4 linked regions of the Caenorhabditis elegans genome follow. The protein of the gene in region 4 interacts with the protein of the main gene of each other region in a biochemical or structural test. Each region holds a gene or a part of one and is shown on either strand. Other genes may lie near its edges. The genes, in order: ubc-22, ubc-13, let-70 and rbx-1.

Region 1 (7,433 bases), on a different chromosome or scaffold from region 4:
GTAAACTTTTATCCAGGAGTTTCACTTCCTTTACAATGATTACCCATCTTTCAACAGAGTTTATCAGTTCATATGTTTTATGTGACCGTAAATGATCTCAAATCATCAATGAGCAATATTTTGCTCATTTTCTTTTTTTTTATGTTTTCGTTTCCGTGTTGTCGACAACTATTGGAAAATAAAACTGTAAATTGATAACTTATTTCAGAAACTGTAAAAACAATTAAACATAATAATTACTTTTTCGTTTAAAATTGGATTTAACCAAATTCAATATTTTTTCAGTTACAGAAAACCTTGATTTTCATCATTTACTGGCAACAAATTACCAACAAAATAATTTGGATTTAATTTTTAAAAAAATTGTATTGTGGTCTTCTGTTGTACGAAATATAGACGCATACAATAAATACGAGGAGTATAGTTTTGCATCGCGAAGCTAGATATCCGTCCGCTGCTGCTGTTAAAAACTAAACAAAAAGTAATATTTTTTATACGTCGTAGACTTGAAGAAAAGTTCAAAGAGAAAAGCGGTGAATGACGCGCTAGGAAATGTGCATTTAAGCCAGAAAAAATTGACTAAAAGATCTAAATAAAAGGTTCACCCGGGGTGATAGAAAACTTACGATCATGAAAAAATGAAACCGGATGAAAATTGCTGCATAAAAAAAAGAAAAGTGGTGATTCTCGAATAATTGTTAAACAACTTCTTTCTAGCAAAAAATAACGTTTCCATAAAAAACAAAAGCATAAGAAAGAGTGTATACGGATTTAAAAAGCGAGAAGAGTTTGTGAGTATTTTGCTTAAATCGTCTAAAACAGGCCCACAACGGCCAAAATTCATACTGACACTTCTAAAAAAAATTCCAAACATTTTTATGGCGGTTCAAATTTTTGTAACAAATGAGCCACGTTTTGCTAAAATCTGAAATTTCGCTCTCATTTTATACCAATAAACATCCAAAAACGATCAAAAAATGGATAACAATCGTCTTAAAATGTGTCTCAGACAACGATTTCACGCGAGATAAACTACCAACATAGGTATTAGAGGGCGAAAATTTCATAAAACTATATTCCAGCTGCTACGACAGAGAACAGTTGGCGAAATTTTTGATTTTAGCAAAATTTGGCTCATTTATTTCGAAATTTTGACAAAAAAATAAATTCGGAAAATTCTGTGAGAAGTAGTCTCTTTATGAAATATAATCGTTTTGAGACAGGTTTAGTAAAATTGAGCAAAATACCCACAAATTCTATTACCTCTTTAATGAATCTGGACAAAAAATGTGGTGGTTCCTAGTCAAAAATAAATTGAAGAGCTTGCTCAAGTTTCCAATTGTTGCAGCTGAGGTAGACAATTGCTTCAGTCTAAAAATTACAAACTTAAGCTTCCTAGAAAATTTGTCATTTGAAAATTTTACCTCTCTGATTCCCATCTCTATGAGACGCCCGACTTTTCTATTGAAATCAGGTTCAACATCTTTCTTAGAGTTTGCGAAGTAAGAAGTCCAGTAGACAGCGGTCGCCTGAAACGAAATTTTGAAATCATGAGTTTTTTCCAGATTCTTGGATGCATTTTTTTAGCAACTCACTTTTAATTTTGCATCTGAAACCTCGAAATTAATTTTTCAACTCCATTTACATTGACGTATGTAGTATATTATTTTCTAACTTTTTAAAAAAACTACATATCGTTATTAAAAAGTTAACTCCGTTATTCCAGTTCAACGAATATCAGTGTATGTGACAAATTTCGGTTTGCTTTACAGATTATGTATGTCTGTATCAAAGCTCAAAAAACATTTTCTATTAAAAAAAATTTCTACCGTAAACATTGGATAATTATTGATAAACTGTTTGGCAACCACTGCATCTTGAGGGTCCGATGGTTCAGGAGAACAGAGCATGGCCTGAAGTGATAGAAGAACTGTCCGAAGTGTAAGACTTGCAGTCCTTAAACCCATTTGTTAACTAGAAACATGTAAAAACCAACCATTTATCCTTGAGTATGTCCAAACAAATGGTTCCAGTTTGTGAGCTGATGTTTGGATGCCAGATTCGTGTAACAAATTTTGCCTGTATATACTCAAATGCGCGAATGTGAAATATAATTTCGGTAACCTTTGGCGGCTCAAACGGATAATGTTCAGGAATATCGACTTTTATTTCAAAAGTACCTCCGGCGTAAGGTGTGCCCTCTGGACCCTTGATGAATCCCTGAAGTAATGGTGTTTTGGTGTAAATACAGATATGTTTAATTAGACGATTTTCTGAATAGTTGATAGACGCAATTCAATAAAAATTTGGCCATAGTCTGGAGTGATATGTATTTTTAAATAAAACAACGGGTACATTTTGAAGCAAAGTCATCAATGATATTTTCATAAAAACTGGAAAAAAACGTTTTTGATGCCGTTCGTTTTAGGACATATTAAATTGAAACTTTTTAGTAGTATGTAATCTACACATGTTTTATTCACATACACGGTAGTTCTTCTGAGGTTCGGTCAGGAGTTGATAAATCAAAAACTTTTCTAGAAGTATTTGGCAAGCAGAAGTCACAACCAAGACTGGCTCCGCAAATTTCTTTACAGCTAAAAAGTTCGCCAATATCACCAAAAAATAACGAAACACTTAAAATTTTTCAAATGGAAAACATGTTACTTTTATAACTTCAGAATGATAAAAACAGCTGCACTATATATACCTAGTTTCAAGTGACACTTTTCAGAAAAGAAATCAAGTTTTAAAAATTATGAATTGTTCAGTTGGCGACAGGCTCAAAAGATTTTTATTTTCATTTTTGGGACAAAAGTGTTGTAAAAACTTGTTAAATTCTTTTTTTCCTGTGAAGTACCACTTTTTTTTAGTTGAAAGTTTTCAGTTTGAAGACAAAGTGTGCACAAATTTTAATATTTACGAATAGGTAACACCCGTTTAATTTTTTCCAAATACACAATCAACAAATTTGGCATTGAATGCACTGCTCATTTACTTCTAATGGGTAATTTTTATTAAAAATGATGTATTTCAAATACCACTTATTATTTTTTTTCAAAATGTCACAGTGCTAAATGTCTCAGGATCATGGCCTTTATAAATCTGATTGCTCACTACTATCGCGCGCCACATTAATCCATGTATTCTTCTTTCTATGTCTGAGTGTCTCGCGCTTTTCCTCTCTCACAATGGGCCCCCTCTTTCCAAAGGTCCATGAATAAAAAGACACCTGTTTGCGCAACAGCGAAACTTATTGATTATAGTGAATGACATTGGGCGCCACGCCTAAAACTTATTTTATGCTTAAAATGTGTGCTTTTCGGGTTCTGTTTCTCTTACTTTGATATCCATTAAATTGTTCTCCTTTATTTCGACATGAATTCCCGCTTCCGTGATATCAGAAGCATTTGCCACCTCTTTACACTTCCGTGTGACCCGTGCCAATGCGAGATTTGACATTTTATCTGAAAATTGCATTTTATTCAATTTCGATACGCTCATATTTGAAAAATGTAATAAAAAATCTCATTGGCACTTAATCGTACATAGTGTTTTTCAAGGTCCACTTAAACTCAAAAAAGGACGAAAAAAAGCTCATTTGCATTCTACTATAACACGTGCATTGGAGGCGGAGTGTCGTTGCCCATATCTTGGTGCACATTCTTCTTTTTTCCTTACATCTCCTTCTTTCTTTTTCCCCTCTTACTATTAGTCATTTCACCCGCCAAATTCAAGTCTTTTTTATCTTGCACACGCGACACCAAGAATTCTGTGGAAAGAGTGGGAAGAGACGAAAGATGAAAAAAAAGGGCTAGTTTTCTTTTTTTTTCTCTTGTTTGCCACTCCAACTATTTTTGTTTTCACATCGATACCCTCATTAATTCAAAACTTTTGTCGGTTTTTGTGCACATATCCAGTTGATTCGAATGCAATGACAGAAAATATCTTGAGCGACAGTGATATTTTCAGAATTGTGGCAACAAAAACATCGAGCAATGAATGAAAACCAAAAAAGGTTTCTTGACGATATGGAAATTGCTCAACAATTGTACATTATAGAGATGGTGAACGAAGAGGATAAAAAAATAACGGTATATTCGACAGAAAACTATGAGAACTCGCTTTTTAAAGTATTTAAATGTGAATCACTAAATCAGTTTTTTTTTTTAAGTTTTAAAAGATGTGAAAAACTTAAATAATATCCAACTTTGTTTCCATTGTCAGTTTCACATCGCTGGACCCGCTGACACTCCTTATGAGACAGGTGTATTTGAGGTGGACCTCACATTCCCAGACAACTATCCTAATGCGCTCCCACAAGTATGTCAAATTACAAATATGTATACCCCTTTCATTTTTATTCCAGATCAAGTTCCAAACTCTCATTTGGAACTGTGCGGTAGAGCCAAGCACTGGGCAAGTTCACATCGAAAATTACTCACGGTACGCTGTCATTTTATTAACTGCAATTTTTGTTCTTTATTTCTTTTAAGACTCAATGTTTCGGAGGCACTGTCTTATATTGAAGATTTATTTCGATCAATCGAGGTAGACGAGGAGGTCATGTTCTATGTTAGTTTTAAATGTAAACAACGTGGCATTTTCTTTCTAAAAACTTAAGCATTTGACTATTAAAACTGTTTCACTTTAGATGGTTTTTAGATTTGCAAATAGTGTTAGGTTTCCAGGATTTTACATGATATTTGAAGGCTGCAGAAATTTATTGAAATTTTTTCTTCCATAGTTTAATCTATTCGACATTTGATTCCTCAGTATATTTTTCAACTGGGCACCTTTCAATTTTAATTTAAAAAAAAGTCTGTGCAATTAAAGCACACAACATTCCTGATTTTCCAATCAATTATTTGTCGAAATGAAAAAGTAACGTGACATCAAAATATTTGGCATCTCATGTCTAAATTTTTGAAAAAAGTTGAGAATTTGAAGCCCACATACTGAACATCAACACATTCACAACTTATGTAAATTGTTAATATTTCGAATTTTCAGAAAACTGCAAGATTTTGGACAACAGAATTTGCTGGAGGACGCCCGCTCCCAGACGATGACTGGCAGAAGAAAAAAGTCGATTCTCTGATTGAAATGGGATTTTCTAGAGTAAGAAATCAAACAATGTTTAATTTTTTTTAATTTTTATAAGTAATTTGAGCTCATGCATGGAATGACCAACACATTATTTAAATACTGTTTTTAGCTGGAATCAATTCTTGCTCTGGGTGGTAGTGACTGGAATCTAGCAGATGCAGCTGAACAACTTTTGGAAGGCGACGAGCAGGCACAAGAATAAACGTTTTGTACCAATTTGTCTTTTTTATACCATATTCAATATTTTATTGATGTTTATTGTATATTGTCAATAATTTTTTAAATACTCCATTCAAACAGTTGTAGCTCAAAGGCCAAATGTGTGCTGGTAATTATGTTGAGTTTTGTCGTAGTACTTTATTTGCTTATGTGCTTGTTCTGAATTCTGAGTGATAAATTACGTCGATGAATTCTAATCTTACTAATGAAGTAAAACAACTTACGCGAAGACGTTTTCTCATTAATTAAATCAGGTAAAACAATTGCTGAATAAAAATCTATATATCGAAAAATACTAATCGCTGAATACATTTTTTAAGTGAAGTGAATTTTGAAATCATAATTGAAGTTTTTGCTGATTTATCAGTTTTAGAGTCTAGATACAGTATGAGACTTTAAATTAACAATCTCGACAGATTCGAAAAGTGCCAGAATAGGGCTATTAAATAAGATATTACCGCTTGCTAGATGCACTGTATGCAAAAATAACTATGTTTTCCCAAAAAAAAAACACTCTAATATAATATAAGCATCCTAAAGTTCCGGATTGCAGTTTGCCGAACAGTTTTCGAACTTTCATTTTTGGCGACAGCTGAAGCTGACCAAACTTTTGCACTTGCCAACTCTGGTAATTGTCGAGTGCCAAAAATTCATTTACCGCACAGCTCTGATCTTCAGGAGTTAAACGTGGTCACTGATTCCCGTGCTTACTATTTGACATTAAAATTCCCAGATTCACTACCCTTATTACCAATAACTTTCTTTTAACTGATAAAGCCCTTTGCATTTAAACGCCTCATCATTAAGTTGGTGATTTTGTTTTGAAAAGTCTTTTTTTTCTATGCACTTTTATCCACTTTGTTACTTCTCTGATGTAACACTCACACGTAACATGTTGTTTTTTAAAGTGCAAAGTTAAAAAGTTCATTTTTTGAAAAAAAGTTACAATTATTTAGTCAAAATCTCTTAAACCCCACGATTACATTATACATTGAATCTTTCTGACTTGTAGTCTCTCGATGAGAAAAATTGCTATTTTTAACGAATACAGAAAACATTTGAAATTTCAAAAAAATGTCCCGCCCCAAATGTTGTTACTATAAAAGTGTGAATTCTGATAGTTACAATATCCTGGCTCAAATAATTCGAGGAGTGAAACGATGATCGTCACTTTGATTGTCTTTCTTGTCATTGGACTTCAAATGGCACACCTTTCTCAAGTATCTGGAAACAACGAAAATGGATTCTTAAATCCATTTGATTTGTCTCAATGGAGCGAAGAAATCCTCCACCGTCAGTATCATCATCACCACCACCATCACCATGGAAATCGGGCGAGAAGAACCTTGGAAACCGAAAAAATCTACCGCTGTGGAAGAAAACTCTACACTGATGTGCTATCAGCGTGCAACGGGCCATGTGAACCGGGTAAGTATCGTTTGTTCCTAAAATCAAAATCGATAAATATTTTTAGGTACGGAACAGGATCTCTCTAAGCTGTGCTGTGGAAACCAATGTACTTTCGTTGAAATCAGGAAAGCATGCTGTGCCGACAAATTGTAACCAGGAACCAACAATCGTCTTCTCAATTGGATCTTCTATAAATATGTCTTTCTTTCTTATTCACCATTTTCTTTATATTTATTTTTTCAAATCATAAAACATACGCAAACTTATTTTTAAAATAAACATTTTCGGTTCAGGTTAAATAATTTATACTGATATTTTATTGATATGCTTTCTGATTAAAAATACTGAAAAATTTTTAACGTAAGTCTACTGTAACTAATGAAAAAATAACGTTTTAGTATGTTCGAAAAACCTGGGATCATGTTTTTGGAACAACTTGTCCCTACGAGCCATCTGACAGTTGACAGCCTACTACCTAATACTAATTTTGATGCATAGCCAATCATTTTCAAACTATTAGTGTTTGATTAAGTGGCTTAATGGTCAAACTTACCCAAATAGTACTGTTATTTTTTTAGCGTTATTTGCTCACTATGAAAATAGAGAATTCTGCACAAACAGGCTCTTTTCAGATTTCATGACCCCAGTAACTGTAGGGTTTGTTTTTTTAATACAGTCATTCTGGTTGATTTCTT
Region 2 (8,857 bases), on a different chromosome or scaffold from region 4:
TGGACGTGGAGAGTCGAGAGTTGTCGGAAGGTCGATCGGTTTTGTAGCCAAACCAGCACAGAGATCGGCTGGAACCGAAGTACATCCATTGAGCTTTCCCGATCTAATGCGCTGCCAGCAGGTCGGCCCCGATCTTCCGTCCATTTCGGATTCCGGCACACAATGTAGTTTTGACTCTGAAAAAGGAAAAGAGATTATTGATGAGGTAGAATATTACGGGAACACAAAATTCTGAGAATACGTATTGCACAACATATTTGACGCGCAAAATATCTCGTAGCGAGAACTACAGTAATTGAGAAAAAAAAATGAGAAAATTCATTTCAAAAATCTAGAACCCGTAAATCGACACAAGCGCTACAGTAGTCATTAAAAGAATTACCGTAGTTTTCGCTACGAGATATTTTGCGCGTCAAATATATTGTAAAGTACGCATTCTCAGAATTTTGTGATTCCATAATATATAAATTAGCCGAGATAAAATTTAAAGTATTTTTAGATGAATTCTGTGTTTGCTAGAATCAGAAAAGCTATTTGTGAAATTGACCCGAGTTCCTTTCCTAGTCTAGATTCACTCAAATACACCAAAAACCGCGGAGGAGATTATGAGAAACGTCCGGGAGGTCTTGGATATTCTGAAGGAAAAAATGGGATCTGATTCGAAGCACACATTCCTCAACAACACTGTTACTGCAACTGCTCAATTTTGTGGAATTCATAGAGACACTGTGAAACGTCGCACCCCGGAACGAAGCCAGCAACCAAGGAAACGTATTTGTGAAATGAGCAAGAAGGAACGGTATCGAAAGGAAGTTTCAAAACTTTCTTTGGTGAAACGGCTTCAGCTCACAAAGTACATCCATGGGCTCTGGTGTGATGGGAAAGACGTGGTTATTGAATCCTTGCAGAGTTGGGCAGAATCGAATATTCAGTGGAACAGAGGATCTACAAGTTTGAGATTTGTGATGCGTGGTTTGGGATTTGTGTACAGAAAGAAGAATCACAACACCATCGTTGACGAAAGGCTAGATATTGTGAAGAACAGAAATATTTATCTGAAAATTAAAGAAGAATTAGATGTGAAGAAGTACTATATTGGATCTTGTGACGAGACATGGGTCTACGCGGGAATGGTCAGTGTTTATGGTTGGCAGCATGGTGATGGAGAAATGTACAAGAAGGCAAGATTAGCTGACATGGAAAACCCCCAATCAGGGCCTCAAAAGGGTAAAAACAAGGGAAGAAGAGGAGTGACAGCAGCAGTTACCGTATCCGTATAGTGACCGTATCGTTGATCCAGAATGAAAATTTGTGGGAATTCATCGCACTCATCTCCAAATATTCCACACAATTCATATTGAAACATCGCAAGATCGTTTCCTTCTGCCAGTAAAGTGAATGCTTTGAATAAATTCGCGACCAAATCGGCATCTTCAGTGATGAAGATACGCTCTGTTTCAATTTCACGGTCTGGGTGGAGCAAAGCGTCAATCAAAATGAGGAAATCGAAAACTTCAACACCTTCAATAGTAAATTCGATCAAAGAGTTGGGTAGTGCTCCGATGTCATGGAAGAGCTCACGAGGAACAATATAAAGCATCAATCCATCGCAAGTTCTCAAGATTTCGTGTCGATTAATCACATCCAGCAAATCCAAATTGTGACCTCCAGAGAGATAAATGAGCAATGGCGTGCTCTTTGGATCGATTAATCGATCGGTAAGCGACGACCAATTCCGTACATATTGAACCATGAACTTCTTGAAGGATTCCGGCAGCTCAGGTACACAGTCTTCATCTGGAAGATTCAACCATTTAACATGGATCTGCGGATGTCGTCCATTGAGTTGCGCTCTCGTCAGAGTGTGTGGGGCTTCGAACTGAAAATGTATTCATTGAAATATCCGTTCTCTAGAATAGTTATCGATTTTAGTGAGAAAAAAACCAAAAAGTTATCATTATTAGATTTAAAATGGCGAAAAATTTTCGATTTGAGAAAAAAAAACGAATTTTTCGTTTTTATTTTCAAAAGAATTTAGTAAAATACTTAAAACCGACACCCTCGTCTAGAATGGCAAAAATTCATACATTGTTCCTAGCACCAAGTTTGTATTTCACTCCATTGACAGAGATTGTACTACGATTGAATTCCAGCTTCTTGATAATCAGAGGTTGCGATTTTTCGATCTTTACAAGAGATGGGCATTGTGCGGCCAGTCGGAATCTGAGAATTATGTATTTAGTTAATTACAGAAACTGTTTGTCTCACCTTTTATTCGCCTCCAAGTGTTTGATAATGCACTGCATGGATAGATAGGTGAGTGGCTTCGAGTCCATGTTTGCAGAAATCTGAATTAAAAATTTTTTATCGGTAATTGCTTCAAATTTCGCAAGAAAAACATGAAAAAACACAGTTAAAATTCGAAAAATCGAAAGAAAAATCAAAAAGCTACAGTTGAACACATCGCGATGAAACCCATGCAACAAGATACTGTGTGTCCCTTTAAATTTACAGTAATATCAGCGTGCATTTTTTCGGCATTTCTCACTTTCGGCAATCGGCGATTCAGGCAGTTTCCAGTTTTTAAAATTTCTATCACAATATCTACTATTTATTCTTCTATTTATTCTTGCATTTTTTCCGGTTGAAAACCATCAGGCTACTGCTGGAAATGCCTTCAAAAATTTCTCAAAAATTCTCAAAAAAAATAACGACTTTATTCAAAAAATCATCAAAATTTCCAAAAGAGAAAAAAAAATCAATTTCGATGGAAGAAGATTTTCTGGAAACTGGGAGAAAAAAAGAAGAATTTAAATTAAATGGACGACGACGGTTTGATGAGGATCGTGAGACAACAGAGACAAAAAAATTTTTTAAAAAATTCAATGGGATGGGGAGGAAATTGTAGAATTTCGAGACAAAAAACCGGGCGGGGACAAAAAAAATCAATATTTAGATATATAGTAGAAGATGGGGAAAATCGAGATTTTTATGCAATTCATACAATTTATTGGAAGTTCGTAAGGGGGCGGGAAAAGGCGGGACAAAGAGCAGGCTGAGAGAATTTCGAATTTTTTTTTGTTTGATGTGATTTTTTGTAGTTGTTCTAGAGGCGAGCTTCGGAGACGATCAGGCTTCTGAAAAAAAATTATTAATTTATTTTTTAAATTGTTAAAAAAAATTTATTAAAATGCATATTTATTGTTGGGTCCCACAGCGAAAACTAGGAAAATCTACTGTTTTCAGAGCCGAAATCGAAAATTCGAAGGGTCGATTTACGCAGCCCGTGTACTCCTCGAGGAGAAGTGGGAATGATTTTTATACAGTTTTTTAACATTAAAACTACCAAAAAAATGGCTCATAAATTCAATTTCCAGCTGAAAACTGCTTTTAAGACACTAAATACTTCGATTTTCACTGAAAAACTGGAATTTAGCGCTAAAGTTGTTATAGTTATGTAAAATTTGTGGAAAAGTCGATGCGAAAACGGTCCAAAATCAATCATTTTAGCGCAATTTTGGAGCAAAAATCGAAAAATCGAACTAGAAACCTCCGAAATTGGCACATGTCGATTTACGCAGCTCGTGTACTCCCCGCGGAGAAGAGGGGTGAAGCACATGGATTTTGAGGCGAAAATTGTTGATGTTGGCCTATTTTTTCCTGATTTGAATCTTTAAATCACCAATTTAGGTCTAAATTATAGTGTTTCTGATAAATTTTTATTTTCGATTTTTTAAAGGTTGAAAAACTAAAAAAAATTCGAAAATAAAAATTTATCAAAAAAGCTATAATTCCGAGCAAAAATTGATGATTTAAACGTTCAAATTAGAAAAAATAGGCCAAAATCAATAATTTTCACCTTAAAACCCGTTTTTTTCACCCCCACTTCTCCTCGGGGAGTACACGAGTTGACGTAAATCGACATGCGCCAATTTCAGGGATTTTTAGTTCGATTTTTCGATTTTGGCTCCATAATTGCGCTAAAAGTATTGTTTTTCGCCGTTTTCGTCGACTTTTCCTGAAATTTTACTTAAATATAGCAAATTTAGCCGTAAATTACAGTGTTTTCCGTGAAAATCGATATTTTTAGTGGCGTAAAAGCAGTTTTCGGCTGGAAATCGGATTTACGAGCCATTTTTTGATAGTTTTAATGTTAAAAAGGTCAAAAACTGTATAAAAATCATTCCAACTTCTCCTCGGGGAGTACACGATCGGCGTAAATCGACATGAGGTCGAATTTTCGATTTTGGCTTCAAAAGAATTGCAAATTTTCATCGATTTCGTGGCGAGACCCTAGATATATTACTGACGAGCATAGTTCATCGTCCATTGTTTTGCAGTCTTAATCGCCTCGGCCTCATTCGTTTTCCATTGCTCGGCGACATCAGTTGCCAGTGGATCTTCCGGATTTGGAGCCGAAAGAAGAGCCTGAATCGACAGAAGAACCGTGCGAATTTGAAGAGCCGGCGACCATTTATCTGAAAAATTGGGCATTTTTTTTCGAGAAATTCATGTGAAAAAGCTCAAAATGAGCAGTTTTTCGAGATAATTCGCATTAAAATAGCCGAAAAATTGAACTTTTCTATGGATAATTTGATTAAAATGCGCAAAAAATGAGATATATCTATCGAAATGCTTTCTTTTGGAGTAATTTTTCGATAAAAATTGGAAAAAATGCGCAAAAATAAAGAAGTTTTCGAAGAAATTACACGAAATTTGTAATTAAAAATCGAATTTTACTATCTCTCCATTGAAATTACTAAAAAATCAGATTTTTCAGCAATTTTAACAAGAAATTCGCTTTAGAATGATTAAAAATAGCTAATTTCGATCATAAATTGAAAATGTCCCTCGAAAACTGGGGGTTCGCCGAAATTTTCGCAATTTTGAATAAAAATTGCCAAAAAAACGCCGTTTTCCGAGATTTTCGATGAAATTTGGTTAAAAATGCGCAAAAATGATACATTTTCGCAGTTTCTTTGAAAAAAATTTCACAAAAAGAGGGTTTTTTAAAATTAAATTTCGAGAAATTCGCATTCGAATGCACCTAAATATATTTATTAGAACAAAAAAAAACACGATTTTTCTCGAAATTTCGTCTATTTTGTCAAAAAACGCTCAAAATAAGCTGTTTTTGATCCATTTTTCCCATTAAAATGCGTAAAAATTCATATTTTTTGGATTATTTTCTCATTATGCGAAAAATGAGCATGAAATTCGGATTTATACGCTCAAAAAGAGCTAAATTTGATTTAAATATTAAAAAATACAAAAAATTCATCTAAACTCGTGAATATTGTTGAAAATGGGCTGTTTTTCGAAAAATTTCAAGTAAAAATATCCAAAAAAGCTAGATTTCTGAATTTTATCAATAAATTTGTGTTAAAACAGTGTAAAAATAGCAAATTTCGATGAAAATTCAGAAAATTCTCTAAAAATAATTGATTAAAACGCTAAAAACCGTTTTTTAAAAAATTTTTTCACTAATTTTTCAAAAAAAGGGGAAAATCTATTCACCCTTGAGAATATCGAGACAAATTCTGCCGAGTTTATCAATATTCGGATGATAGATCTTTGTCATGAATCGAACTTTCGGTGCAGCCATCGGATACTCTTCCGGAAGGAAAAGCTCCAACTTGAAGACACCACCAGCAAATGGAGAATCGTCTGGCCCGGCTATCATGACATGGAAGTATCTGGCGTTGCTCTCGTCTGGATTTGCCGATATTCCGGGAACCGGATCCGCGAGAAGTCGTTGTGTCTCTTTGATGATTCGACGCGGAAGTTGCCCGGCCATTCTGCAAGAAATTTTATTGTGTGTTTTGGGGCTTTTAAGCTGATTTTTCTATTAGAAAAACGGATTTTTGAGTGCAAAATGGTGAAAACTGAATAAAAAAATATATATAAATGTATAAATTTTGGCTGAAATAAAAGAAAAAAGACTAATAATTCAAGGTTTTTTAATTAAAAATCAAAGTTTTTTCTCGAAATATCGGAAAAGGGCCATTTTCCGCAAAAAAAAAGTTAAAATATCTAATTTCCTAGGGGAAACTATGAATTTTTACTTTAAAAAACTGTTTTCCTCGAATTTTCAACGTAAACATCGGCCAAAAATCGATAAAATTGTGTTTTTGGCATTTCCAACCAAAAAAATGCTCGTTTTTAGCGATTTGGAATAATTTTTTTGGAAAAAAAAATCGATTTTGGTGCAAAATAATAGCAAAATTGGATTTTTGTGCAGTTTCCATGGAAAAGTGGAATAAATTTGATGGTTTTTGAGTGATTTTAGAGCTTTTCCCAGCGAAAAACTGTTTTTCTGTTAAAAATTCAACAATTAGACGGATTTTTGAGTGCAAAATGGTGAAAACTGAAGAAAAAAATGTATAAATGTATAAATTTTGGCTGAAATAAAAGAAAAAAGACTAATAATTCAAGGTTTTTTAATTAAAAATCGAAGTTTTTCTCGAAATATCGGAAAAATGCCATTTTTTTTAGTACAAAAAGTTAAAATATCTAATTTTCTGCGGGAAACTATGAATTTTTCAATTAAAAAACTGTTTTCCTCGAGTTTTCAACGTAAACGTCGGCCAAAAATCGATAAAATTGGGTTTTTTGTGATTTCCAACATTAAAAAACGCTCGCTTTTCACGATTTCGAATAATTTTTTTGGAGAAAAAAATCGATTTCGGTGCAAAATAATGGCAAAATTGGATTTTTGTGCAGTTTCCATGGAAAACAGTGATGAAATCGCATATTTTTGCAGAAAACTGACATTTTGGAGTAATTTTAATCAAAAATAAACGCAAAAATGTGTATTTTTGACGTTTTTGGCATTACGAATTCGTTATTTTTGCGGAAAATCGATATTTTCAGCACCAAAATGTTGAAAAAGACGCGTTTTCTACGGGAGCTTTCAGTTTTTCATCTGAAAATATGTAAATTCACCGGTAGTTTGAGTGAAAAAATCAATTCAACAGTGAAATTTCGAAAAAATAGGATTTATGTGCATTTCAGAGTGAAAATTGGCATTTTTGACGTATTTTCCATCAAAAATAATGCCAAAAACTGAATTTTCGACGTTTTGAGCATTTTGAAAACGCTAAATTCGAGAAAATCGATATTTTCAGCAAAAAAACGCTGTAAATTCTCGTTATCCACGCGAAATCTTAATTTTTATACTAAAAATGTATAAATTTAACGGTAATTTAAGTAAAAAATCAATTCCTTTGCGAAATTTTTAGAAAAATTGGATTTCTGTGCATTTCCCAACGAAAACTGTTATGAAATCGCATATTTTTGCGGAAAAATCACATTTTTCGGTAATTTTAGTAGAAAATATCGCCGAAAATTGATTTTTCGGCGTTGAAAAAGCTGAAAATGGGTATTATTTTCCATTTTTACGTATTTTCCATCAATAATAACGTTTCGAAATCGATAAAATTGGTTTTTGGAGGTTTTTAAGGTGAAAATCGATATTTTCAGCCTAAAAATGCCAGTTTTCGACCGTAAATCTTCGAAAATCACATTTTTAAACTGATTTATTTCCTGGAAAACCTAGAAAAAAGGTAAAATAAATTATTAAAAACCGGATTAGAACCGAAAAATTGGCAAACTGAGGGAAAATCAGGGAAAAAAGCTTCATTTGACCAGACCAGTGGGAGGAAGATGATGATGAAACACGAAAAAATTAAGGGGGGGGGGGGAAATCAATAAATAAATTATTATTAATAAAAAATAGATTTCAACAAGTAAAATTGCAATAAAAACACACACGCTAAAAACACGATTATCACATGTAGAACGGCATGAAAAAAAAATCACAGCTCTTCTTTGACATATTTCGGCTTAAGCTCCTCGATGCGCTTGATGAGCTCGGCCTTCTCGGTGCATCCCTTGCACACCTCTCCCCACTCGCCGAGAATGTTTTTCAGCTCTTTCACGCGCATTTTCTTCAAATCGATCGTCTTCCAGTCGAGTGGCTTGTCTGTGAAATTTGGGGATTTATTTATTTTTTTTTTTTGATTAAAAGCGAGATTATGCGCCAAACGAACCGTATTTAAGCTCACAAATCTGAGCATCCTTGCCCTTGAGCTTCTCCAAACAGACTTTTTCCGTTGGCATCGACCAACTGAGCGGCTTGGTGACCTCGTTCATGATGGAAGTGGCCGATTCTGGGAGTGCGCCGATGTAGAAGCACTGAAAATGGATAAAAATTAAAAATTTTAAAGGAAAATTAGATTAAATCATTTAAATCTTTAAATCCCCTACAAATTTGTTCTCCTTGTTGCGAGTGGTCTCACAATGCTCTCTGATCACTTTTCCGATGGCATCTGGCTTGGATTTGTCGCCGGCCGGCACTTTTGCCATCACATCGTCCAGAACCTTTTTGCAGACTGAAAATTTCGCGATTTTTTATTAGATAATTAAGTAATTAAGCTTTCTCAAATTTACAAACCTTCACATTGTGGAGCAGCAGCCGAGGCGACGACAATCACCAGGGAGATGAGAAGGACGAGTCGGCTCATCTGCTGGAAAAAACAGGGATTATTACGGGGTTTTCAGGGCTCTGAGAGTGTAAATAGCGGGAAAACTGAAAAAAAAAACCAACAAATTATGCAGAAAAATAGAATAAAAAGACAAAAGAAAGCGGAAAAAACGGAGAGAAAATAGAGAAAAAGCGAACGCAATTCGAGAAAATAAGCTGACGTGTTTGCGCGCACCGCGGGCGCGTCAGCACTCTCCTTGGCGCGTTTCTCGATGTGGACGTCAGCGTTAACGTTGACTTTTGGAATTAATTTTGTAATTTATTCGGGCTGATTCGCAGTGAAAAACGATATTTTCCATTGAGAAAACCTCA
Region 3 (6,829 bases), on a different chromosome or scaffold from region 4:
ATCCAGCTGAAATAAATTGTTTCAAAATTCAAAATAGACTCAAATTCAGAAATAACACAAAATAAAACGAAAAAAATGCATTGAGTTTGAAAAAATACAGTTGATTTTGGAGAATGTTCAATTTTTGTAAACCTCATTATTTGAATTTCCGCGTTTTTGTCTTGAAACTCCGCCCATTTTTCCGTGCCGCGTTTCGATTTTTTCAATTCCGGATTATTATTTGTATTTTTCCGTTTTTCTTGAAAGTTTGAAGTTCAAGAGAAACAATTTGGAATGCATGAAAACATTCAGTTTATTCTTAAAATACATAAATTTACCAAGAAACAAACATTCTCACAAAAGAATTCAACAAATGTGAAGATATTCATTTTTTGTGTAAAAAAAAGATGTGTTCGTTTAATACAAAAGCTTCTTTTACCTGAAGGTTTTGCATGAAAATTTTTTCTTATTGGGTACGGTAAAATTGGCGGATTTCGAGACAAAAGCACGAAAATTCAAATAACTATTTAGCCAAAATTGAAAATTCGCCAAAATCAAATGGCTTTTTTTGGTAATTTATCAATGCATTAAATTAATTTAATGCATTTTTTTTCGTTTTTCTGTTGTGGCTATTCGGAACGTAGGACTATCTTAGATTTTTAATGAACAAAATCCCAAATTTTAAGAAATTACCAACTTTAAGAAATTACCTGAACTCTTTGTCGAAAGTATGAATCACATGGTTTGCAGACAAATGCGAACTTTTTAAGACAAGAAGTCTCATGGGAAACCAAGTCTGCAGGCCGAGAAAAAGATGCTCCACACTCATCACAAACCTGAAAGTGTTTAAATATTTTTTGAAAAAAAAACCTGTAACTAACATTTGAGTATTTTCTACATTGCATATGATGTTTCCGTAAACCATCACTTCCTGCTTCTATTACTTCTTGGCATTGTTTACATTTGTGAAGTTCGTGATATGTCTGTAAAGTAGGTATTTTAAACTTGTTTCATCCGTGTTGAATAGAAGGTACCTGTCGATGAATTCTCATTTCATAAGTAGTCTTGAATAATTGCCCACATTTGTCACACGCTGTCCAGTCAACTTCTACTCCAGGAGCATTCGAATGCTTTCGAGAGACGTGGCGAGTTAAATGTGATTTTTGTACGAACTTCTCTTCACAAAATGTACATGAATAATTTCTGACATTAAGATGTGTCATTTGATGACGCTGAAGATGAGAAAGACGTGGAAATACCTGAAATTATTGGATATTTTATTGGATAACTTTTAATGAAGAATTATTTCCATACTTTATCACACATACTACATTTCAGTGGATCTGAAGCGCTTCTGTCATTCTTCGATTTCACAACATTTTTATGCATTCGTAATTCATGTTTTGTTAGATATCTGAAATTCATCATAGAAGATTAAAATATATTTTCAGGCTTTTCTTACCGTTTTAAATCAAACGTTTTCCCGCAGTCTTGACATTTGTGTCGTGCCATTGCCGGCTCAAATTAGATAAATTATTGAAAATACATCTTATTTATAAAACGAGATAAATCATTTAGTGCTTTCATGCTAACTTTCAGTAGAAGGTTTTAATAGAATTTACCCAAAATTTATTGATACAAGTATTATTAAAATTTGGAGGCAAAATAGAATCACGAGAATGAAAAATTGTGTCAGAGTACAGTCAATGCACAGTCAATTATACAGAAAAGGTAAAAATTTGAGGCGACCAATTCAGAAATCTTCATCATCCTCAAAATCGATATCAATAGCATTAACAGAGTTCTGAAGCTCGTCGAGCCCGGTGACTTCTTCGAGACGACCTGGCGAGTTCATAACGTCGCGAACAAACTTCCAGCCATTTTGCTGAAACTGTGCAGCGATAGCGTCTCCACAAGCAACACATTGATCGAATCGTTTTACAGAAGGAAGAATCTAAAATAAAATTAACGAAGTTAAAGCAAATAGAACACAATTATTATACCTGCTGGAATCTTCCCAGAAAACCGCGAATTTGATGTGGAGCAGCTCCAAGGACTGTTGTATTATCGTCGTGGCTGGCTGGTGTCTTGAGTGGATCAGGGTATTGTAAAACAGACGATAAGAGTTCAACGGCAATTCCAGATGCAATCATAGATGTTCCTGGTCGTGCAACCTGAAAGAAAGCATCCGTTTTGAAATAGAGGTGTGGAAGTTCAAAAACTCACAGTGCACTGTTGGTCCAATGTTCTATCGAAAGTAGAATTTCCTGGAGCAGTTACATCACTGCAGAAATAGCAAGAAAGCTGAGAGTATGGTACGGAATCTGATGATGAAACATCTGAAACACTTTCGCTTCTAGAACCAATTCCATGCCGAATGATGACGTAGGTATCGAATCCAATCGCGACACTAATTGCAATCTTCTTATGTCTACTAGCCAAAACTGTTGGAAGCCAGCGAGCTTCCCTTGAATCTAATGCTAGGAAAACAACATCATGATCTTTCACAAGTTGCTCCAATTTTGCAATATCTTTTTCCAGCTCTGGTACATCTTTTTCATCGATAGAATGTCCAGGCATTGGAACAGTGAGACGATGAGCAGTTGCTTGAATCGATGGGAAAATGCGTTGGATAGCAGCTTGTGCTGTTTCGGCTTTTCCACGACCCAGGCGTGCATCTTCAAATTCTGAGAGACTCTGGCGAACGGGGTTATTGTAGCTGACAGTTGAATTATCAAGAAACGAAATGTGACGAACTCCCCATCCGATAAGACAACGGGCAATGTTACATCCAAGCGTTCCAGCACCAAGAATGAGAACCTGGAATATGACAAAATATAAAATTTAAAATTTAAATATATACCTTCAGCTGTGAGTATCTTTCCAATTGAATATCTGGGTGCAATCTCCATTTGATTAATGATAAATTAAGATCCACAGATCTTTCCATTAATATTTTTGGATCGAACTCTTTACTTAAGTCTACTGAAATCGGCTGCAACTTATCATTTGCATTTCTTTCCCATCCCACAGCTTTTGGAACAGCATTCTGAGCTCCATCTGCTGAGCATTCAGCACTCGGCAAGGTCCATGTGTATTTTATTCCGATACTGTCAGCTGAACGAAGACTGATGATATGACAATGCTTCCACGTAGGATGAAGATGTGCCACTGCGGCAAGAACGTTGCGAACCATCCATCCTGCAGAATACGCAACAGGAGAAGGATCAGCGACAACAACACATATTTCGTCAGGATTTGTGTTGTTTTCCAATTCTGACAGTTCGAGCATTTTTGAAGATTGTTTGGAGTATAGGAAGATCGGAAAATTGTTTTTCCTATAAAAGTCGAACAGGATCTTGTGATCGGCTCCGAGAGATGATAGTGGTGTGATCTGAAACCGAAGAATTTACGAACTTCAAAGACTTTTAAAGATTTTTCAACCTCTTGTTTTATTTCACTAGGATATACCAAAGCAGGAACACATGTCCAATAATAATATTTGAATTTTTTCAAATCAGCAAAAGCGATGATGAAGAATTGCGACAGAAGACGAGGATTTTGGAGCCATTTTCGAGTTGTGATAGATTCCCAGATCTGAAATTGCTGACGATTTTGATTAACTATACGAAAGTTATTCTACCTTTTCTGCTTCACTTCTTATCAAATCACTTTTGTCAACCATCTTGAAACTTTCAATTGTATTGTACAGAAGAAGGGTACCGGACATTGACAATCCAGTTGTGCTCTCCAAACTGCTCAAACTGTCGTAACTTAAGGATAGATGACATTTAAAACCTTCGGTTTGATCTGTAATTTAAATTAAAAATCATCTGATACGGATATAGGCAATTCTTACGAAGCGATAATTGACTTGAGATACACTTTGGCGTCTCATCGAGTTTCCAATCATTGAGCTTTTTCTTGTTCACTTCGTTCCAAAAACCTGTATCAAGACAAGTAACAAAGGGAACAAACGTGGCCATCGATTCTGAAAGAAAAACAATGTCGAGAATAATAGACGCTCTTCAGTAATTTATTCAGGATTCTCAGACCGCCAGATGAAATAAACGAAGAACGAATGTGTGGTGGTTTGGAAGAAATCCTTTTTCAATTTCTCGAGAAAAATCAGAGGAAGGGAGGAGGGAGATTTGGAGACAAAATAGTTTAAAGGGGATGAGAGAGAATTGAGGGGATCAATCTACACCGTTCGATTTACTTTTGAATTATAAGGAAGAAATATAAAAGACCATATATATTTTACATCGCTTTGCTGACGACAGAAAATAATATGAAAGTGGGTATTTTTTGAAGGAGAATAATGTGTGGGGGAGAACAAAATCGATAAAAAGAGAACACAATTTATAGTACAAAAGAGGAATCGCCGGGGTTTGGTGTGGATTGAATAAGATGGAAAGGGTTTGGAGATGAATGGGAGACACAGAGAGGGAAAAGAAACACATGGTTTATTGATTGGTTTGGCTGCGTTCTTGTATGAATGGTGTTAGCCTCCTCACATAGCGTACTTTTGCGTCCATTCTCTCGCCAATTGATTGTACCTGAAAATCGATTATTTTTAGTAGTTAAAAGAAAATCTAAATTCACCTTTCACGATCCGTCTTGTAGATGCGTGCAATCTCTGGCACAAGTGGATCATCCGGATTTGGATCACAGAGCAGCGAGCAGATCGAAAGCAGAACTGAAAATTAAAAGTTAGAACGCGAACAATAATGATAATATCAACCTTTCGAAATGGTCAGAGCCGGCGACCACTGCGAACGGAGAATGTCAAGGCAGATGCTTCCGTTTGAATTGATGTTCGGATGATAAATTCGAGTGGTGAAGGCAACCTGAAGAAAACAAATTAAATTTATTTTTTTCCAATTTCGATCAATACCTTTGGTGGTTTGAATGGATAGTCTGTTGGGAAGTGGATAGTGAGGAAGAAGACACCTCCCTGATAGGGAGACTCTGGTGGGCCCATAATCGTAGCTTGCCAATGGAACAAATCATCACCAACTGGTCCAGCGGAGCATTGTGCGGGTGGATCACGGCCGAGATCTTGGAGTTCCTGAAACGTACATAATAATTTTATTGTTGTTAAGTGTTGAAACCTTACCTTCTGGATTCTTTTGAGAGCCATGTTGGTGTTCTGATTTGCTGATTGACCCGGCTACACCCGGAGTACTCTGAAAATAAATTTCGATAAATACGGTGAAATTGAGCTTCTGCTATAGGGAAAAATTGAAAGTGAGGATTTTCGCATGAAATAACATAAAGAGTACGGCGCGGCGCGGCGAAAAATCGATATTTAGAGGCGGTACAAAGTACTCAGTTTGCCCTTCGTGGTGAACTGTTACGTCACATTTCGAAACTAGTGGAACATTCTAGAAAGCGAAAAATGAGGAAAAATAGAACAGATATAAATTTGAAAACCAAAATAACATAAATTTCGGAAATTTCCTAATAAAATAACTAACGATGAGAAATGATGACAAATATGACACATTTTTACGGCTACAAGCCAGTGACACTCGAAAAAAATTTTAACGCTTAAAAGAAATGGACTGGAATATTACGCACAAAAAGCAAGCGATTCAAATCTTGTAAAATTTTCTTCACAATGAATCGAGACTGGGCAAAAATTAAAATTCAAGACGTATCACAAATTGTCTGGTTAGTTTTTTAAAAAACTATTCGGCATGTACGTATTATTTTCTGATTGAAACAAATGATTTCCAGATAATCACTCTGAAATCGACTAAAGACACGCGACTTGTCGCCTCACGAGATGGTGAGGAAGGAAGAAATGGCCATAGGCTGCGAGTGAGTGAGAATGTGTGCTGTCTGTGAGTGAAAATGAGCGACGGGGTGAGCGCTGAAGTGTCAGAACGACAGAGACAGAAATAACACAGGAAACGTAAGAGGGTACGAGGCAACGATCGATACGCAGCGCCATGGGTCTTGAGACGACCATCACACTCACTGCAATGCTGCAGTCGCATCGCAATGGGGATTGAAAGCGGAGAGAAGTGAAACTATAAGCACTTAGACACGAAACGCAGAGAGGTAGAGATATCTAATGACAAAGCGAGAGAGTGAGAGAAGCAGTTGATCATGTGATTCCACTGATTCAATTCAGTGTGGACGTGAGTGAACTTGCACTTTTCTGATGGTTACTAGATGACTGAAATTTGAACGCGGAATTTATAAAATTTTAGGACGAATGAACTTGAGTGTGTTTTCTTATTTCGTGCTATATGAGTCACGTGGGACAACGAAAACAAAGAGGTATAAAATAGGCCAAATCATACTTCGGAAGTGACTTTAATTTTGAGAAATAAGTTTTGCAAAAATGTTGTTCAAATTATTGATCGAGCACTAAATTCCCTAATCACTACTCACATGTGGAGTTGAAGTTATTTTTAAAATACGAATTCAGCGAGGAAAACCTTTAAAAAATTGGAAACAAGTACAACAGAACGAACTACAGAAGTTGGAGCAGGAAGAAAAATAAGGAACATCGCAAACGAACTGAAAAGAAACTGAAGAAATTAGAAGAAAATGAGTAAGAATGATGGACCGCCCTTGTTTCACAATCTGTATTTTGCCGCGTTCGAAATGGCGCCAAGAGATATGGAAAGCTCTTCCAATCAAAAAATATTTTTAAATGGCATACTGCTTGTCTATCCCATATTACGTTGAAGGTATTAATAAAAACAACAAAAATTTTTTAGAAAACATTAAAATAATCGAAAATTCACATTAAATTACGAGAAATTGTTGTGCAAACTTGAAAACAGTTGTTCGAAAACCCGCCGATTGTCAGGCTGCTGGATCTCGTGCTACC
Region 4 (6,607 bases):
TGACGTTTAAAACAAAAAATAACTGTAATTGGTCCTGTTGAGAAAGCGGGAAGTCGAAGTATTACTGGTATTTATCCAAAATGGTTTTAAAAATAAAAGGAACGAATGTTATTGCTATTACATGACCAGTATTTTACAATCTGAAAAGTTTTTCAATGATCTAAGATTTCATAGTTTTTGCAGCGTTCTCGCTAAATCTTTTCTGAATTTTAGAGAATAAATACTTGTAGATCAAACCAAACAATTTGACCCAAAATTGGGATGTTGGATCAATGCTTGATAAATTTTTGGTTTAACGTTTTGGGGTGATAAAACTCAGAAGAACTTTACTGGCTTGATTATTTGACTTTTTCACAATGTTCATATAATTTCATCAAATTAAATAAATCAGAAAATCTTACCAAATACACCATTGTCAATTCTATGCTGCCCACGCAGTGAACGATCCTGGGAAGGGGGTGGATGTACTTTTACATGGAATAGTTGACCAAAGTTATTCGATATTCTAGAAGCGTAGGCGGAAGTTGTGACGGGTTTGTCAATCGGAAAAATATTTCGGTTAAATAAAATTTAAAGAACTAAGAGCAATAATTGTTTTATCAGTATGTTTCATAATTTAAAACTCATCTTGAAACTTCTTATTTTAACTACCAAATTCTTGGGCAGATATAATTTTAAAACTATTCTGCAGAATGAAACACGAACATTTTAACACATATCTGCCACAAACTGAAACTTGTAATCTAAAAACCTAATAAATTGTTTTGAAACGAATTTATCCGGTTGTTTCGTTAGTGATTAAAAAAAACAATGCGCTCTGAAAATTTGAAAGTCATAAAAGCAGGCTTCAAGCCTCACTCATGTTTAAAGACAAAAGAGGAGAGCCTGTGTCGATTTATAAGTAACAATTTCCTTTAAAATTGAGAGACTCACAAGAGGCGTGAAAGTAATAGCAACAACAAAAGTTTATGATTTAACTATTTAGACAAAAACTTTAGAATTCGAGCACCGAGTTTTAACAAGCTGATCAGCGTTGGGTATTTTAATCATCCAGTATCATAAATGTGAAAATATTTATATCTTCCATTTCACCTCAATTGATATTTGATATGCGATTTTGCAGATATAATAGATTTTTAAATAATAAGGATATTTTACCAACCTGTAAGGAGTGAGCAATGTTCACTAAAAATTGAAATCCAAGGACTAGAATCATCTTTGAATCATTGCCAGATCGAATTTGGCTTCCTGGAAATGAAAGAAAATAAAAAAGAAACTGAGATTTTGCAACAAAAACGAATGGATAAGTGGCTTCAATTGAAATTCAGCGGATTCCATCAAAAAGTTGTTCAATAAAAATCGGGTCTACCTGCAGCTCCACCTATTCTTTTTTCTCTCAAACTCTTGTTTTCTACTGCTGCCTTGTGTCTTACATTCCCACACTACAATACAGATTCGGACGGTTCGGATATAAAAAATGGGATTTCCAAATCGGGGAGTGGATCGAGGAACACGTTCAACAAACATACACTGTATTGGGTAGGGGAGTCGGTTTGCTTGTTCCGACATGAGAATCTCGAGTTACAACTCGCAAAACCAATTAAATCTTCTCGCAGACAGTAACTGATCCCCGTGGTGTAAATTTTGACCTATTGGTGTTTGATCTGATCACTTCGATGATAACAGAAAATATATAAATATGTAGCTAAGTTGGAGAGTACGGTAGGTTACGGTGTGATCGCGGTGAGATATCAGGTGATTATAAACTATATAGTTTAAGTAAGCCCAAAGCCCAATAGCGGCCTGAATATACCTCGTTTTTAAAGAAACGTTTTAAGTTACTTCAGAATGAAAAAAAAACAGTCTAGAAGTATTGGGAATTAAATTTTCGAGTGGCAGTTATATTAAAAAAAATAAACCGATGTGTATAATTTTCATTGAGTTTTGCCCTACTTTGTGAACTTCAACACTTCTAAATATGTATGAACAATTTTGTGCAATTTGGCATTCGGAGGAACTACTGTATCTGAAATCGTGGCAGGACCCAGCCAAGAGAAGTAGTGTGCGCCTTTAAAGTGATACTTCACTTTTCATGAAGTTAAGAATATCCGCAATTTAGCAACGTCGATTATTGAACAATAAACGTTTGTAGACAGTTTTAAAAGCAGAAAATTATCTTGGTCTATATTAATGAGAGAACTCTACAAAAATCAGTATCCAAAATTTAAAAAAAACTTTGGCACAGAAACGAACAAGCAATCGTAATAATCAATTATTACGGAAAGGAATACGAAGAAGCGGCGAGAAATGTGCTGCAATTCGGTTTTGAACGTTTTAGCCGAATTGCAAATAAATTACGCGAGACGAGACCTCCTCCTTTTGCTCCGGCGGCTTGAACGGTGCCCGCAACCTGAACCTAAACAGCCTAAGCACATAAACGGCACGAGAATTGTCTCGTTGAGAATTATGAGACCAGAGGACACAGTTCATATTTATATTTTTAGCGGAGAAAAATTAAATATTCAAGCGAGGAAGGATGATTTTAGAAGGTCAGAAGGGATTGGAGATTTGAATAAACAAATGAAAAGTGTCAGATCACATAGAGACTAACACGTCTGGATTTTAATGTGCTTTTTTTTGGGACGAATACATATTCACAAAAGGAAATAGAAGAAAAATCAGTGAATACAAGTAAAAAAGTGTGAAGAAACTGCCCGGGCGGTTGGCAGAAGAATGAAGATCGATTAGTGTCCGTACTTTTGGAATTCCCACTCACGATTGTCCAATGGGCATACCTGAAAAGATAGAATTAGAAAATGTGTAAGCTTTTTGAAATGCTAGTTACGAGTACTTAGTAATTGAAAAAAATTAAATTTTCAAAAGTTGTTTAACAAAAATGCATGCGGCAGGCTTCTGTTCCGCTTTGACATTTGAATAAATATCATTTTTTCAAAAATAAGCACGTTTAAAAGCAACCTACCTGTCGTGTCTTCAGCCAACGAGAAATGCAATGGAAGTGGAAAGCGTGATTACAGTTTCCCCATGCAACGGTACACTCATCCTTGAGCCCGGCTGCTTGATTCGCTTGGCACTCGATGCACAGATCCATGATGTGATTGCGGCAAATAGCGCAGTTGTCGACCTGAATGTCCCAGGCCCAAAGTGCGACGGCACTCCATTTCTTGACCTTAAATTGCACTATGTTTGTTAAAGCATGTAACATTGTATCTGTGTTACCTCGAAACGCTTCTTAACTGTCTGATTTGTGGCCTCCTCGACCTCCATAGCTGTGCTGTCGCTTGCTTGGGCCATTTCTGGAAAAAATACAAATGAGAATAACAGTAATCATTTCAAAATAAGAGCGCAAAAGTAGCATTGATGATATAATGAAATACTTAATATTGAACATGTTTATGCATACTATAATACTATAAGCCTAAACTAAATAGAGGATATGATTGATAAAATTGTTGTATCAGATTTTATGAAAAATTGTACCCTAGAACAAGTGATTCACGAACCTAATACAACATTGTTGTACAAAGCCGCCGATAGAAAATGAGGAAACATGAAGGACTTGACATTATTGCTAATATGTATTGAAAAAGGAGATACGCTGTTGTAAAATAAATAAAATGAAATCAGACTGAGCAACACTGCCGAAATTCTTTCGAAAGAATCATCAAAAACGCTTGTCTGCACACACCAGACGCTACGCGCATTTGCGTACACCGTACTCACCTATTTTCTGTCTTCACGCTTTCGCTTTCTTTTTAAAATTTACTCGTCGCGTCTTATTTCTTGCCGAAACGAACAAAGAAGAACAGGTTAAAAAGAAAAATTGTATTTAACAAAAATAAACCGTATCAGTTAGTATTTTAACAGTAATTCTAACAATTGGGACGATGAGAAAACAACTTTTAAATCGTTTCAAGATATTTATTCTGGCAAATCCGTGTATCCAATTCTCTTTTTCTTTCGCTCCGGAAAACATTTTTCAGTAATTTCTTTCAGCTTGTTTCCTAGATTTTTTCGATAGTCAATAACCATGTCGCAGTCGATGGTTCCGTCGGGTCTCTCGTGATGGCTTTTTATGTGCTTGATCACATCAGATTTTGCAATTGTCTGCCATTTTCTGTGACAGATTCCGCACTCGTAGAGCTCATATTTTCCGTGACGCGTATTTGCATGATACACCATGCTTGATCTTTGTTTGGAAACAACGTCTCCACAAAGAGAACATTGAATTTGTTGCTTCGGCTTGATCGGACCACCGCCATCAGATGCTCCCTCGAATGAAGGACCGGCTCCACGTTCTTCTTCGTGACGTGCCAGAGTTTCGTCTGAATTAAATCCAAATGAGTGGGAATCATTATTATGTGTAAGTTTACCTAGAAAGGCATGATAAGCATTATCTACGAAGACAACAGGAGAAGATGACTGAATAGGTGTGCCAGTTGCTTCTGAGTTTTCGACTTTGACTCTGTTCTCCACTGTGCTTGACACCGCATCGCTGATTTTCCCTTCAATCCGCATAGATCGACTCATTGCAATGCACCGTTCGAGCTTTTGGGTCAGTTCCTTCTTTTTCATACTCAACTCCGGTGTGTAGCGATATTTTATCTGCAATTTAAATTATTGTTGAATTTTTTTTCTGCGTCTCTCAACATTGGAGACTTACAGAAAATTCGGTGAGTCCATGATCATTCATACAGTGACTGACAAGGGCGAATTCCGTTGGAAACTTAGCGTACTTACATTTTTCGCATCTAAAATAGTAAAGCTACGTTCACCACATATTAAAAGTTAAAGACTTACTCATATGGGCATATGTTAAGATGATCACTAGCAATGTGTGCTTCGAGATCTTCCAGTGTGTTGTAGGCCTCAGTTTGAACGCAATCTAGACATCCCAGTAGTCGGTTCATTTTTTGAATGTAATAAATATATTCTGCAAATTTAGTAATATAGATTTAGAAGCGAACGGTTAACAAAATGTGTTCGAAATCAACTGAAGACGCGTGGAAAAAGGAAAAGAATGGTGAGAAGAAGAAGGAAGGAAAATGGAGAGAAGGGGGTGGTTTTGTGTGTGTGAGGAGGAGAAGAAGGCCGGGCGGGCAATGGCCAGTCTCTTCCTCCTTTCTCCTTCCTTTCTTCTCCTCTTTCTTCTTTTTTCTTCTTCTCATCGCTCGGTTCGCGCTACATTGAAACGGAGAGAGAAAGGGAAAGAGAGAGGACAAAAATGCGACGACTCGTCTTCTTCCTATCTCTTTCTCTCTGCTGTGTGTGTGTGTGTGTTTTTGTGGCGATAGGAAAAAAAGAAAAAGGAGCGGGATGGGCGGAAGAAAAGTGGGAAAAACTGTTGGAAAAATGAAAACGTGAGAGAACAGATATGAGTCAGATTTTTGTGAAAAATAATTAATTTTGAGATAAAAAGTTGATGGTACAAATACCATGACCATGCATGGCAGTCTCTTTTTTGTTGAAATTTTTGTTTAGAAAACTTATTTAAAACCAATTCTTAAGGAATATGCATTTTTTTTAAACACGAAATTCGCTTTAAACAGAGTACTTCCATTGGAAAATGTAAGGGAAATAAACGATAAAGCAGCCGAAGCTACCATAAACTTTTTTGCGCATCGAGACCAGTCCAAATCAATCCATGCGCCTTTAAGAAAGTATGCCAAAATCTTGTAAAATTAAGATACCATTTTTTCCTAGCAAGAATTTCTCGCTTTCTGATAATTAATTTGGTAAAAAATTCTAAAGCTTATCTGAAACCTTTCGTCTTATAATTTTACAGACTCGGTTTATATTTTATTTTGATAATTAAAAAATAATCAAGATTTTTCAGAGAAAAATGAACACACTGCGACGAATATCGACATGTCGATTCACAAGTAATACAGCGTCTTCAACTTCTTTGGAGTCTGCACCGGCTCCACTAAATCCAAAAGTTCAGAAAGCTCTGACTCCTGCCACGTTTTCAAATCCCAATCAGCTGGCTCGATACCTATCGAAAAAGGTTTTGGCTCACGCTCCAGGTCGATTTGTAGTGTTGGAAAAGCCATATGGATTGTCATGTGTTGGACAACTTCAAGAAAATGGTGGAGTATTTGGGAATAGTGTTCGAGATGAGAGAAAAACTGAAAAATGGGCTGGTACAATCAAAGCAAGGACTCAAGAACAAATGGGAGTAACAATTTCCGATTGTATCAAAGATTTGAGAAAGTTGCTCCGTGAGCCTCAGCTCAGTTTCTGTACAGGCTTAAAACGATACTTATCTGGTGCAATTGTTCTTCCATGTAATGAAAAGGATTCCAATATTCTGAAAGAATGTATCAGAAGCACTTCTTCAAATGTCGAACCCCCTTTTATGTATAATGCCTTGTAAGTTTTATCAATTTCTAAAGTTTAATTTTAGTATTTATTATTTTAAAGTTCAGAGCAATCACAATTGGAAGACCTGAAAAGAGCAGTGGAGTCATAACTGGATTTGCCACGTTTCGGAATGTCGGAAAGCACAAAGAGTACATTTTCGAAGAAAGAAAAACAACGAAACGGGCAAAAACTGGAAAATACGCTGTAGAAGGACATATGAGCTATC

What was found.
Region 1: of the proteins of rbx-1 (region 4) and ubc-22, one has a biochemical effect on the other in vitro, tested with the Caenorhabditis elegans proteins (one study listed by BioGRID).
Region 2: of the proteins of rbx-1 (region 4) and ubc-13, one has a biochemical effect on the other in vitro, tested with the Caenorhabditis elegans proteins (one study listed by BioGRID).
Region 3: of the proteins of rbx-1 (region 4) and let-70, one has a biochemical effect on the other in vitro, tested with the Caenorhabditis elegans proteins (one study listed by BioGRID).

The regions. Positions count from the first base shown.
Region 1 is NC_003284.9:8,865,696-8,873,128, reverse strand, and holds ubc-22 (UBiquitin Conjugating enzyme), read left to right. Parts: upstream 1-3,966; 5' UTR 3,967-3,998; coding exon 3,999-4,094; intron 4,095-4,227; coding exon 4,228-4,323; intron 4,324-4,369; coding exon 4,370-4,446; intron 4,447-4,496; coding exon 4,497-4,575; intron 4,576-5,013; coding exon 5,014-5,121; intron 5,122-5,218; coding exon 5,219-5,311; 3' UTR 5,312-5,526; downstream 5,527-7,433. Other genes in the region: C06E2.1 (GYF domain-containing protein), read left to right, coding at 1-39; ubc-21 (Ubiquitin-conjugating enzyme E2 21), read right to left, coding at 1,300-1,371, 1,425-1,529, 1,830-1,956, 1,997-2,079, 2,125-2,220, 3,343-3,504; ins-9 (INSulin related), read left to right, coding at 6,489-6,756, 6,803-6,891.
Region 2 is NC_003282.8:2,919,894-2,928,750, forward strand, and holds ubc-13 (Ubiquitin-conjugating enzyme E2 13), read right to left. Parts: upstream 5,799-8,857; 5' UTR 5,798-5,798; coding exon 5,518-5,797; intron 4,479-5,517; coding exon 4,311-4,478; intron 3,138-4,310; coding exon 3,130-3,137; 3' UTR 2,698-3,129; downstream 1-2,697. Other genes in the region: fbxc-45 (F-box C protein), read right to left, coding at 1-176, 1,268-1,879, 2,088-2,223, 2,269-2,336; manf-1 (Mesencephalic astrocyte-derived neurotrophic factor homolog), read right to left, coding at 7,818-7,984, 8,052-8,196, 8,269-8,393, 8,456-8,525.
Region 3 is NC_003282.8:11,077,086-11,083,914, forward strand, and holds let-70 (Ubiquitin-conjugating enzyme E2 2), read right to left. Parts: upstream 5,169-6,829; 5' UTR 5,123-5,168; coding exon 5,099-5,122; intron 5,051-5,098; coding exon 4,877-5,050; intron 4,830-4,876; coding exon 4,724-4,829; intron 4,679-4,723; coding exon 4,585-4,678; intron 4,539-4,584; coding exon 4,493-4,538; 3' UTR 4,001-4,492; downstream 1-4,000. Other genes in the region: Y5F2A.4 (C2H2-type domain-containing protein), read right to left, coding at 1-6, 690-815, 861-962, 1,014-1,238, 1,294-1,393, 1,442-1,491; atg-7 (Ubiquitin-like modifier-activating enzyme ATG7), read right to left, coding at 1,733-1,933, 1,983-2,153, 2,206-2,799, 2,843-3,373, 3,424-3,576, 3,623-3,789, 3,839-3,965; klc-1 (Kinesin light chain), read left to right, coding at 6,650-6,686. UniProt on the Caenorhabditis elegans protein: Catalyzes the covalent attachment of ubiquitin to other proteins. Mediates the selective degradation of short-lived and abnormal proteins. Plays a role in the DNA damage response.
Region 4 is NC_003283.11:9,687,209-9,693,815, forward strand, and holds rbx-1 (RING-box protein 1), read right to left. Parts: upstream 3,315-6,607; 5' UTR 3,313-3,314; coding exon 3,238-3,312; intron 3,188-3,237; coding exon 2,981-3,187; intron 2,796-2,980; coding exon 2,745-2,795; 3' UTR 2,478-2,744; downstream 1-2,477. Other genes in the region: ztf-9 (C2H2-type domain-containing protein), read right to left, coding at 3,940-4,343, 4,392-4,623, 4,682-4,769, 4,819-4,928; ZK287.7 (RNA_ligase domain-containing protein), read left to right, coding at 5,861-6,390, 6,447-6,607. UniProt on the Caenorhabditis elegans protein: Component of the SCF (SKP1-CUL1-F-box protein) E3 ubiquitin ligase complex, which mediates the ubiquitination and subsequent proteasomal degradation of target proteins.